3 linked regions of the Oryctolagus cuniculus genome follow. The protein of the gene in region 3 interacts with the protein of the main gene of each other region in a pairwise test. Links are inferred from orthologs where the notes say so. Each region holds a gene or a part of one and is shown on either strand. Other genes may lie near its edges.

Region 1 (4,261 bases), on a different chromosome or scaffold from region 3:
AAGCCAGCAGGGTAAGTGGTGGGTGTCAGAATGTGAAGCCCCTTGCCAATGGCTCCAGACAGATTCTAGAAGGCTAGGAGACAGGAGTCTGCCTCCCCAGGAGACTGAGCTGCACAGATTCACATCTCTGAGATGCAACCTTAGCGTGCATTCTAATCTAAGGCAAGTCTGAATGCTTCCCCAGACTTCCTGGTCAAAATTCAGGCTTCCTTTTCTTCAGAAGAGGGAAATAGGTATTGGCCAGGCACTGTGTATCTGTATCTCATTTAATCCTCACTGACCTGGGAAAGGAAGTATTCTAACTTTAGAGAAGCAACAGGAGCTCAAGGAGAGCGCTGCACTGGGCTGGCGGGGGAGGGGGCAGACTCACGCCCACCTGGTGTGACTTAGCATTGCCTTCACCTGTTAGGCGAGCTCCAGGCTGCTGCTTAGCCCACAAGGTAACTGCCAGGTCACCTGGTATGCGGTTGGCACTCAAACCACTCCCGAAGCAAATTTGAAGGCCCTGGGCAGGTGGTTTCACCTTGCCAAGCCTCAGTTTCCCACCCAAGATTAGCCAGTACTAACAAGGCCAAACACAACAAGCTCCTAGCCCTTGGCAGTCTGCTACAGGCAGCCACCCCATTAGCTGAGCTTGCCCTGACCCCATTTTACAGGTGCGACTTGGGGCCACAGAGACGCCACTGAGAGGTCCCAGGCCTGCTCTGCCTCGCTCCCACTTCCAGGCTCTTCCCACCACACCATGAAATGAGATCACAGGTGGGAAGCTATTTCATCAAAGAGGAGCTTTGTTCAGATGCAGGATTATTATGAGGATTTAACCTCAGACAGGGCGGGGGGAGGGGGAGCCCCAAGCCCCTTAGTCCTCTCTGGTGACTCCCCTAGCCCATGCCCCCGCCCCCACACCGGAGCCCCCAGCCTTCAGCTGACCTCTCACCACTCTGCTCCACCTCCCAGGGGCTTTCCAGGGTGGCTTCCCCTTGACCCCAGGGGTTAACTAGTCCCAGCCAAGGCCACAGGGCCCAGACCAAGGCCACATTCCCATGCCTCCCTACCCAGAACAAGAGCCTACCAAGTCCATGCCAAGGGCTCTCTCACAACACTCCTCTGCCTGCACAGCCCCTGAGGGCAGTGGCAGGAGCCCCTGCCTGGTAATCAAGACACCAGGAACTGTGCCCCCAGACTTGAGACCTGAGCAAGACCACCTGCTCCTGGGCCAGGGAAGTCTTGCAGGTTCCCTGCCCAGGAGGGACTGAGGTCAGACCTGCCATCTGGGTCATAGGCTCTGAGGCAGCCCACATGTCTCAGGCCCAAGCACCAACCACGCAGACTCTCAGAGCAGCCTCACGCAGGGCCACCCCAATGTCACATCAGGGTGGGACAGATGCCAGCCACTCACCCAGAAGAAGCTAACTGGGGGGTGGGGGGTGTCTGAGACAGTTTCTGGCCCAACCACTCACTGGCTTTAGGACCTGTGGCAACTGGCACCCCTGCTTGCATGAGCCTCAGGGTCCCCATGAGCAAAGTGAACCCCATCTCCCCCAACTCTGCTGGGCTCTGCAGGGAGTGTCCCCACAGAGGTCCAGAGACTGGGAGCATGGCACTCAGGAGCCAGGAGCAGCTGCTCTCCTTCCTGGACACACAGAGACAAGTGTCCCACCTCTGCCCTCAACTCTGGGTGGCCTTTCCTGGGAGCTGATTGGCCAGGGAAAGCCAAGGTCTCGATGCCGGGTGGCCCGGCCTCATGCTTGCTACCCAGCCCTCTCACTTCTCCCCTCCCCCTTGGTTTCCTTTCCTCTCTCTCCTCCCCAGATTTCTTCCCCCTGCCCCCCACCCCGAGTGAAGAAAGCAGGGTCGCTCAGTCAGCCGAGCCTCAATTTCCCCCATCTGTCAGTGCCCACACGACAATGCACAGCACCTCTCCAGCTGGGATAGCAATGAGGCGCATAGGGCGGGGCTCGGACCTGCACACAATGGGCGCTCAATAAGTGCCCGTTTTCTCCCTCCCCCTCTGAGCAGGTTCCAGCCTCTGCCCGTGCCCCCCGCCCACGCCCTCAGCCGCGCCCGGTGCTGCGGCCATGAGGTCGGAGACTGCTCCTGCCCCACATCAGGGATTCTCACCTGCAGCCTCGGCTCTGGCCGGGACGGAACGAGCCGGTGCTCTCCTCCGGGCGAGCGCTGAATCCCGAGCCCCAGCCCAGGGCGGGAGGGAGGCAGCGACTACAGCTCGCAGCACCAGTCCGGGGGTTCAGTCCGACTGTCCTGCCCGCCGGGACCCCACCTGGGGCGCTGGACGCGGCCCGGGGCTTCTCGGGCGCTCCAAGTCCGAAGCGCTTGATTCGAGGCAGCTGAAGGGTCGGGTCTTTGGCGTCCCGAGATTGGGGGCGTCCGGGTTCCTCTGCGCCCAGGTCCGGAGGCTGGGGCCACCCAAGCGCTAATCTCGGGGCGGAGGGCTAGGGGCTCCGACCCACAGTGGTAGGAAGGCTGCCAACCAACCCGCAGGCGTGGAGCCGTACGGCGGAGCCAGGAGCGTCCCGCCCGGGCGTCGCGGCCACAAGCACGGACCGCGGGCAAAGGAGCGTCTGGGCGCGGAACCCGGGGCTGGGCAGGGCAGGCGCCGGCGGGGAAGTCTCCCCAGCTCCGCGCTCCACGCGCCAGCTGACTCCGGAGCTCGGGCCGAGGCTCCACTTCCTCTTCCCCGCTCGCTCAGCCGCGCGCCGCAGCCGCCGCCACAGCCGCTGTCATCCCCGCCGCCCACCCCCACCGGCGCGGCAGCCCGAGCCGGGCCGAGGAGAGCCGAGGCGGCCCCGCCCCGCCTCCGAGCACTGGCGAGCGCGGCTCCGCCCGGACGGGGCGGAGTCCCACGAGGTCCCACCCCCGGCGGGGCCACGGGCGAGGACGCGGCGCGCGCCGGCTCCCCTGCCCGGGCCCCGCGCGGCCCGGCAGCAGGGGCCAATCAGAGAGTGGGAAAAGGGCGGAGCTCTGCGGGATGAGAACGCCGCCTCGGAGGGCGGAGCGGACGACGGAGAGGCGCGGTCGCCGGGAGAACAATGGCGGGGCTGGGGATCCTGGAAGAACCGAGCTGGGGAGGGGGCGACCTGGGGACACCAGGATGGAGCGGGGGCGAATGGGGCTGGCCTGTCTGGGATCTGAGCAGGGGACTGCCGCGTGGAGGGGTGGGAGCGGGGGCCGGGGGAGGAGGGCTGCCCGGGACAGGGGCCCCGGGTGGGGGTCCCCGGGTAGTGGGGGCGGCAGGACCCGCCCTCACCCTGCGGCTCCGCAGCCGCTAGCGCTCGGCGCGCAGAGGTGAGACATGACGGCTGTGAAATGTTCCGATCTCGGGGAGCGATGAAAAATAAGTTTTGGAAATAACTCGCGGGTCTCTCGTAGCTCTGCCCCTCCTGCAAGAGAAGCGTTGTGTCGGTTGTTTCAGCAGTGCTGCCGGGGCGGAGGAGCGCCAGGACCTCATTCACCTCCAGGGCGGGCGTGATGCACCTGCGGTGGCCTCGCGCCCGGCACGGGCCCGCACGCCGCCCGCGCCGCGGGGGTTGACTGCGGGACTGCGTGTTGAATGTGCCGCGGAGGCGACATGCGCCACACCGATTGGGCTGGGGAGCGAAGGGACGGAGGCGGTGTGGCACAGCCTGGCCGTGAGCCGGAGGCGGCAGCTACCTCCTGTAGCTGACGGGGATCCGCCAAAGGAGAGGCCGCGGGAGAGTCCCACGATCCTATCCACCAATCGCTGTTGCAGTCTAGGGCAAAGCTGTGTGGCCCTGAACAGGTTATTCCGCCTCTCTAGCCCCGGGAGCCTCACCCGCAGAAGAGGGCTTAGGACTTTGGGGCAGGTGCTTGGCACAGCCTTAAGGGCCACTTGGGACCCCCGCATCCACACTAGAGTGTCTGAGATGGAGGTCCAGCTTTGCTTCAGATCCCAGGTTCCGAGATGTGCACCTTGGGAGGCAGCAAGTAATGGCTCAAGTCCTTGGGTCCCCAGCACTCACGTGGGAGACCTGGATTGAATTTCTGGCTCCTGACAGCACCCTGGCCCAGCCCCGCTGCTGGGTACATTTGGGGAGTGAGCCAGTCAGCCCCAGATCTCTCTGTGTCTGTGCCTGTTTCTCTGTCTCTCTTGCTCAGCCTTTCAAATGATTAGAGAGAGAGAGAGAGAGAGAGAGAGAGAGAGAGAGAGAGATACTGCTACTTGGCAGGGAAAAAGGAGGGACTGGGTGGGCCCCAGGGCTCAGAGGATGGGGGGGGGCAT
Region 2 (4,230 bases), on a different chromosome or scaffold from region 3:
CCCCGTAGGGAGAACATCTGGTGCGTGGTTAAGATGCTGCTCGGAAGCCGGCACCGTGGCTCAATAGGCTAATCCTCCACCTTGCGGCGCCGGCACACCGGGTTCTAGTCCCGGTTGGGGCGCCGGATTCTGTCCCGGTTGCCCCTCTTCCAGGCCAGCTCTCTGCTATGGCCAGGGAGTGCAGTGGAGGATGGCCCAGGTGCTTGGGCCCTGCACCCCATGGGAGACCAGGAAAAAGCACCTGGCTCCTGGCTCCTGCCAGGATCAGCGCGGTGCGCCGGCTGCAGCGGCGGCCATTGGAGGGTGAACCAACGGCAAAGGAAGACCTTTCTCTCTCTGTCTCTCTCTCTCTCACTGTCCACTCTGCCTGTCAAAAAAAAAAAAAAAAAAAAAAAAAGATGCTGCTCGGAACACTCGCTTCCCAAATCACAGTGCCTGGGTCTGAGTCCTGACCCACACTGAGTCCCCTGTCCTGGCTCCTGGCTCTGGCCTGGCCCAGCTCCAACTCTTCTGTACATTTGGGGAGTGAACCAGTGGATCAAAGATCAACTTCTGTGGGTCTGTCTCTGTCTTTCTGCATTCCAAATAAAATGAAAATGAAAAAAAAAATCCTTCCTTCTAGGAAGGGTCAAATCAGGTCCAAGTCATTCCTGCCAAGCTATGAATAGAAATGGCAACCACCCAACCTATGATAAGCAAGGAAGCCAATTTCCATGGTGGCACTCACTAATCCCATTTAGCCACCATGTCCAGAGATGGACCAACATCACAGTGCCTGGTCTTCCACCTCCAGCACCATGCACGGTTCTGGATTTTTTTTCTTTAAAGATTTATTTATTTTGAAAGTTAGAGTTACAGAGAGAGAGAGAGAGAGAGAGAGAGAGAGAGATTTTCCATCCTTTGGTTCACTCCCCAGATGGCTGCAACAGCCAGAGCTGGGCCAGGCCAAGGCCAGGAGCCAGGAGCTTCTTCTGGTTCTCCCACATGGGTGGCAGGGACCCAGGCAGTTGGGCCATCAATCACTGTTTTCCCAGGCCATTAGCAGGGAGCTGGATCAGAAGTCGAACAGTCAGGGCTAGAAATAGCACCTATATGGGATGCCGGTGTCATAGGCAGCTTTACCTGCTACTCCACAATGCCAGCCCTGGGTTTTGGCTTTAAATTAAAAAACAAACACACAACAACAACAAAAAACCTTGAAAGAAATAGGCAGAGAGACAGACAGAGGGGAGTTCCCATTGCTGGTTCATTCCCCAAATGCTGGCAATGGCTGGCCCAGGGCCGGAGCTGGGAGTTGGCTCCTCAATCCAGCCCTGAATTTCTTCTCCAGATGCCCAGGATGTGCTGTACCTTGGCTATTCTGTTCTGGGAAGAAGACTAACCGAAAAAAAGGAAAACGACAGGTTGGCCAGGCGACACAAGACGGGGATAGATCAGTAGAGACAGGAAGAAGAAACAGCATGAACTCAGCTAGAAGAAGGCAGCCATTCTCTACTACGCAAAAGACTCTAGGTAGCTGGTGATACAAAATGCTGAATGTGGGATCTGTCTAAACAGACTCTCCATCCCCTGTCCTAGGTTGAATACTGTGCCCACCTGGATCCTCGGCCAGCCCATAACCTTACTTGGAAAGCGGTCTTTTCAGATGCAGCAAGTTCAATTACAATAGGGTCACACTGGATTAGGGCGGACCCATTCCCAAAGACTGGTGTCCTTGTAAGACCAGAAAGCAGAGACAAAAACACACAGATGGAGCCACGTGGTGACAGAAGCAGAGGCTACAGCGAGGAAGCCCAGCATTGCCAACCACCACCACCACCACCACTTCAGAAGACAGAGGGAAACATTCTCCGCTCCAGCCTGCAGACAGAGCAGGCTCCGCCAGCACCTTGACCTTGGACTCCCAGCCTCCAGAGGGTAAGGGGATCAATGCTGCAGCTAGCAGCCGGCCAGCCTGTGGTACTTTGTTATGGTAGCCTAGGAAACCAACCCACTCCCAATGCCACACCTGTTCCCAAACCACCCTTCCCATACTTGGCCCCGGGGATGACGACTCAGGCCCACCTGTACTTTTCCACCTTCCCAGAGCCCGCCAGCCCTCCGGTCCCAGAGGGGAAGGCCCCGCAGGGATCACATTTCAGCCGCCCCACACCGGCAGGGGAGTTCTTGTTTTCTCCTCAAGGCCTCCCAGTGATATAGGTTCTCAGAATGGGACTGGCATTCATATCCACCCCATATGGTCCTAATTCTGTATTCCTTACATCACCACTTACCTAATATTTCCTCATACCATCACTACGCTTACTTAGATTTATTTTTAAAGCACTGCTACTTCATTGTTCCAATAAATGGTTAGTCAGCATCACTTATCACACGCAGACCTTTCTGTATATATCCATACCTTTAACGTGCTCACCAAAACGAATCCACAATACTTTTTAGAGAAACCACTTAAAATAGTCTTGGCCGGCAATACCACGGGAAATATCGCCTTCGAGGTGAGCTGTCCGCGGGCTCCTACTCAGAAATCCCAATCCAGCTCTCCGATTCTTAATATCACCTCGCACGCCCATCCCCGGGCCCCAGACACTCCGGAGAAGGTAAGAGTCCCGCGTTCCTGAGAATGGAGATCCGAGGGGACTTTAAACCGCGGGTGAGCCGCGCAGAGACGCGAGCGAGGAACTGACCTTCTCTCGAAGGCTGCAGTGGACGTCCGCGGCGACGCGCCCTTCCCACCACGGCTCATCCATCCCCGCGAGCAGCTCTGCGATCCGCGGCTACCGGGCCCTCGGAGCGCTCCCTGCGTGGACACGGGCAACTTCAGCGGCTCCGACGCCCACAGTCCCTATATCCTCGCCGGTCCCCGGCACGGCCCGGACGGGCGCCCCCTCCTGCCCCGCTCCGCGCCCCGGAAAGGTTGCGGTGCCCCCTCCCTTCTGCTCGCTGGACCCCCGATAGATCAAGAGCTGTGCAACAACTTGCAGAATTTTTATCTTCCCTGTGCAAAAGTTGCAGAGAAAGTTGCCTCCTCCGCCCGAAGCTGGGGCTCCTGCGGCGGCCACCCGCTTGCCCGTCCCGAACTCCTCCCCCGCCGCCCAGCCTTTGTCCTGCTCCCACATCCTGCCCTCCAGCCCGGGGCGAGACTCACGCATCCCTCTTCAGGCGTGGGGGGCTGCGGGCACCCAGCCCCTTCCGGGGCTGAGCCGGCTGTGCCCTCTGGCTTGGCTGCACGCGGCTGGACCCCGACCCAGCCCGCTCCGCGCTCTCGCCGGCCGCCTCCACAGCCCGGCTGGCCCCAGCCGCCGCGCCCCTGCGTGCGCTCGGGTCCCGCCGCGGCTCGCAGGATCCCGGCCGCCGGGGGCCTCCCTCCCTCGCTGGGGGAATTGGGGGCCGGGCCTCGCGCATGCGCCAGCAGCGCCCCGCGCCCCGCAGGGCGGGGGGCTGGGACTCCGAGTCTTTCTTTCCGCGGCTCTGGCCGGGCTTCCTGTCCGCCCTCCGCCGTCGCCTCCGCGGAAAGCTTTCTCTCACCTTCGCGGAGACTCGCCGGTGTGGGCGGGGAGTGGGCGGGGGCGCGCGGGGGGGGGGGCAGGGCACGGCTCCACCTGCGCGCACCGCGCGTGAACCACGCGGGAAGGATGCCCCCCAGAAAGTTCTGCCTCGCGCGCGCACCGCTCCAGCCCACGCTTACATTCCACCTGCTTTGCTTTCTTTCTTTCTAGGCTTGTTCTGCCGTGGGAGATGGGATTCCAAAAGGGCCGTTCCCACGAATGCTCCAGAAAAGCCCTGATGGTAAAGGCGCAGAAGTCAGGGGTAGTAGTTGTGCCCCCTGGGAAGTATCGACCCACGCCTTACAGTGGAGGAAAACCCACCAACACCAGGAATGAAAAGCATTGTCTTTTTAATTTGGTTGTTTTCCGAAAGGCGCTTTCTTGAAGCACCCTGCTGAGCGCGCGGCAGGGAGCTCTCCTGGTGTTTGGGATATTTTTGGAGGTTCACTAGCTTGGGATCGAACCCCACCATCACCAGCAGCAGCTGGGTGATTTTTGCCAATCAGAGCCTGGGACCCCTGCGTGTAAACTGGGCATAAAAGTTGCCACAAGCTGCTGGAGATGTTTTATTAAATGATTTAATGCATGTAAAGGGGCAGTCACCATCCTGGGTTTAACCGAAAAACAACCGTTGCCGAACGAAGAGCCTTGATTATCTGACCGATTTCCTCCCACGTGAAGA
Region 3 (2,850 bases):
GGTAGCCTCTGACCTAAAATACTGAGTAGCATTCACACATTAGTACAGGACTGCAAAGAACATATCATTTTATTTTCAAATCCCTACCTCTGATAGTAAAATTGTCATATATTTCCCATAAAGAAAATAATCTTCTACCTCAAAAGTTCTCTTCCTGGACAGTTGGAAATTCAACATATGTGGGTGTACCATTTGAACATTAAAGCAGAAGTGTTGTGATAGAAATTGACTTTTCAACCAAGCAGAATTGGAATTTAAACCTATCAGATAATTCAAATTCCATTAAAATAGTTGCTGGAGGGAGGTACTGGATATGTCAACATGAAAAATGGAGTGGGGTGGTTATAATATACCATAATTAAGCATTTTAAAACCATTTTTTCCAGAATTACAAATCTTCAAGTGTCTTTCAAAGTACTCAAACTTAAGAAAATGACACTTATTCTTATGCAATCACTTATATAAAGCATTTTAGAAACTCTCTTTTGGAAACTGACATCAGAACCAATGCAGGAGGCAAAACAAATCCACATGTGAGTCTGTGTATCTTACTTATTTTACCAAGAATGATAGCTTTCAGTTGTAGTATGAGTAATCACGAAACACATAAGTCTGGAATAATCATGTAAAATATCATGTTTTCCAGCTTTCTTTAAGGAGTTTTATGTGGATTTTTTGTTCATACTAGGATCCATAATTTTAATCGAGCCCAACCTCATTATCTATATTTAAGATCTTAAAACACAAACCAGACTTTCTGTTTGAGTTATTTATTAAAGTTAATAAAAAGAGCATTTATTTTTTGAACAAAGATACTTTGCTATGAAGTTAATCTGTACTGGGATTCTGAAATAAAGTGAGCACATTGAAATTTTGTATAGTTGTAGTAGTTTCAGCTTTTCCTGCCATTTAGATTATAGGAGTTTTCACCTCCCTTATAACACTCTTGGTTCCAAGTGACTTCATGTGAGTAATTTCCAAAGAGAACTGGATTTTCTTTCAGATAAAGAAAATTTGCCCCTGTTTAAAAAAATGATACAATTTTTAAAAACAATTCCAAGAGGGGGATTTTAAGAATTTGCCATGGTTATTGTAACTGGAATAAGTTCATAGCCTTCAAAAGTGTCTGTTTTGGTTGGATAATTTAAGAAGAAATCTTATTAAAATCTAGTCACGCAGGCTTCTCAATATATTTAATAAATGGAACGCATTGTAAGGAACATCCAATTTTATCGGAAGTAAGAGCGCTTCTTCCTGCACTCTAATGAAGAGTTCTGATGCAGTCTCATCCAACCAGGAGGAAGAGTCTGTTTACAAAACCCTCACCCTCTAGGGTATATAAAGGGCCAAGGCAAGTGGGGATCAGAATGAAACTTGCATTCAATTCTTTCCCTCAAACACAGCCTGCTCTCAAAACCCTCGCTATGTCTTGCCAGAACTACTCTCGCAACTGCAGCTCAGGCTCCCCCGGAAATTCCTGCCACATCCCTGCCTCCTCCTCCGTTGCCGGCTGCTCTACAAATGTGAGCTGTGGAGATGTCTTCTGCTTACCCAGCAGCTGTCAAGATCGTGCCTGGCTCACGGACAAAAGCCAAGAGACCTACATTGAACCAACCAGCTGCCAGCCAACCAACTGTGTGCCCAGCAACTGCGCAACCTCCTGGAGATCTTCCACTATTTACTATGTGCCCAGACCCAGCCTAGGAACCAGTTTTATTCCTGCTTCTTCCTGTGTCTCCAGCTCCTGCCTCCCAGTATCCTGTAAACCTCCGAGCTATGTGTCCAGCAGTTGCCGTCCGCAGAACACCCTGATCAATACTTGCCAACCTATAGGTAGCGTGCTCAGTGCCTACCGCCCTTTGACCTCTCTGTCCAGCAGCTGCCGACCCCAGAGCCTCCTCACTTATGGATGCCAACCCGTAGGTTACTTGGCCTGTGGTCCTCAAGCAGTTCATATCGTCTCCAGCAGCCCAAGACCTCTGCCGCCTCCATCCAGCGGCTGCCAACCTGTGACCCACGTGTATGGCACATGTCATCCATCTTGCTCTGTCCAGGGAGGCCAGTAGTGTGCTTGTTCCAGCAAATCATCATGCTGAAGACTCAGGATATAAATTCAAACTCCATGGACTTCTGGTTCTTTCTTAGTGGTGTCTGATTGCTGGTTGGGTGTTTCTACTATAGCTGATCTAATGTGATTTACTACTTTCACATTTTCATCTTTCCTTGATGTTAAAAAAATTGGTTTACAATGTGTCTCAATGTTGCCTGAGTGTGGGAAGCATGTATTTGTTCGCACTATAATAAACAAGATCATGTCAAAGCTAAGAATCTGGTTCATTGGTTTTCTTTCATTCCTTCATTCTGACACAGAAATGGTGAACCCAGACTCCTTATAAGATTTGTGAATAAGACAAAGTGCTGTGTAACAATGTGCTCTTACTGATAGTAGAGAGATGATTTGATGGTGTGATTTCTCAAGCTGTTTTTTAGACTTCTGATGCTATGTCCTTGAGAGATCCAGGAATCCTTGGTGGAATGTGTTTTGCAAAGGCAAGATGAGGAATTATATCTTTTAGCTCTCTCTTCCACTGAATATCCTTCCACTGGAATGTTTTTTCTCATTACAAACCTAACCATAAGCTTTTACTTAATCCTTAGATGACATTGTATGATCGATTCCCATAAGGTAAAAGCCCAAATCCCTTACCATGATACTGGATTCCTTCATTGTCTTCCTCCTATTATTTGATTGAATCCCCTTTTGCTGTGTATCAAAAATCCAATTCTGAATTACACATAGATCCCCAACATGATTTTGAAAATCATCCTTTTTGCATATGCCATCAACAA

The links.
Region 1: the proteins of KRTAP26-1 (region 3) and GDPD5 interact in a two-hybrid assay, tested with the Homo sapiens proteins (2 studies listed by BioGRID and IntAct). The two-hybrid records come from large-scale screens. The link is inferred for Oryctolagus cuniculus from reciprocal best matches to the Homo sapiens genes KRTAP26-1 and GDPD5.
Region 2: the proteins of KRTAP26-1 (region 3) and CCNJL interact in binary tests that used the Homo sapiens proteins (3 or more experiments, as listed by UniProt). The two-hybrid records come from large-scale screens. The link is inferred for Oryctolagus cuniculus from reciprocal best matches to the Homo sapiens genes KRTAP26-1 and CCNJL.

What each region holds. Positions count from the first base shown.
Region 1 is NC_091432.1:66,621,905-66,626,165, forward strand, and holds the start of GDPD5 (glycerophosphodiester phosphodiesterase domain-containing protein 5), read right to left. Parts: upstream 2,801-4,261; 5' UTR 2,122-2,800; intron 1-2,121. UniProt on the Homo sapiens protein: Glycerophosphodiester phosphodiesterase that promotes neurite formation and drives spinal motor neuron differentiation.
Region 2 is NC_091437.1:47,211,580-47,215,809, forward strand, and holds the start of CCNJL (cyclin-J-like protein), read right to left. Parts: upstream 2,801-4,230; 5' UTR 2,751-2,800; coding exon 2,688-2,750; exon of another isoform or gene 2,443-2,687; intron 1,918-2,442; exon of another isoform or gene 1,749-1,917; intron 1-1,748.
Region 3 is NC_091435.1:15,091,267-15,094,116, forward strand, and holds KRTAP26-1 (keratin-associated protein 26-1), read left to right. Parts: upstream 1-1,369; 5' UTR 1,370-1,424; coding exon 1,425-2,066; 3' UTR 2,067-2,328; downstream 2,329-2,850. UniProt on the Homo sapiens protein: In the hair cortex, hair keratin intermediate filaments are embedded in an interfilamentous matrix, consisting of hair keratin-associated proteins (KRTAP), which are essential for the formation of a rigid and resistant hair shaft through their extensive disulfide bond cross-linking with abundant cysteine residues of hair keratins.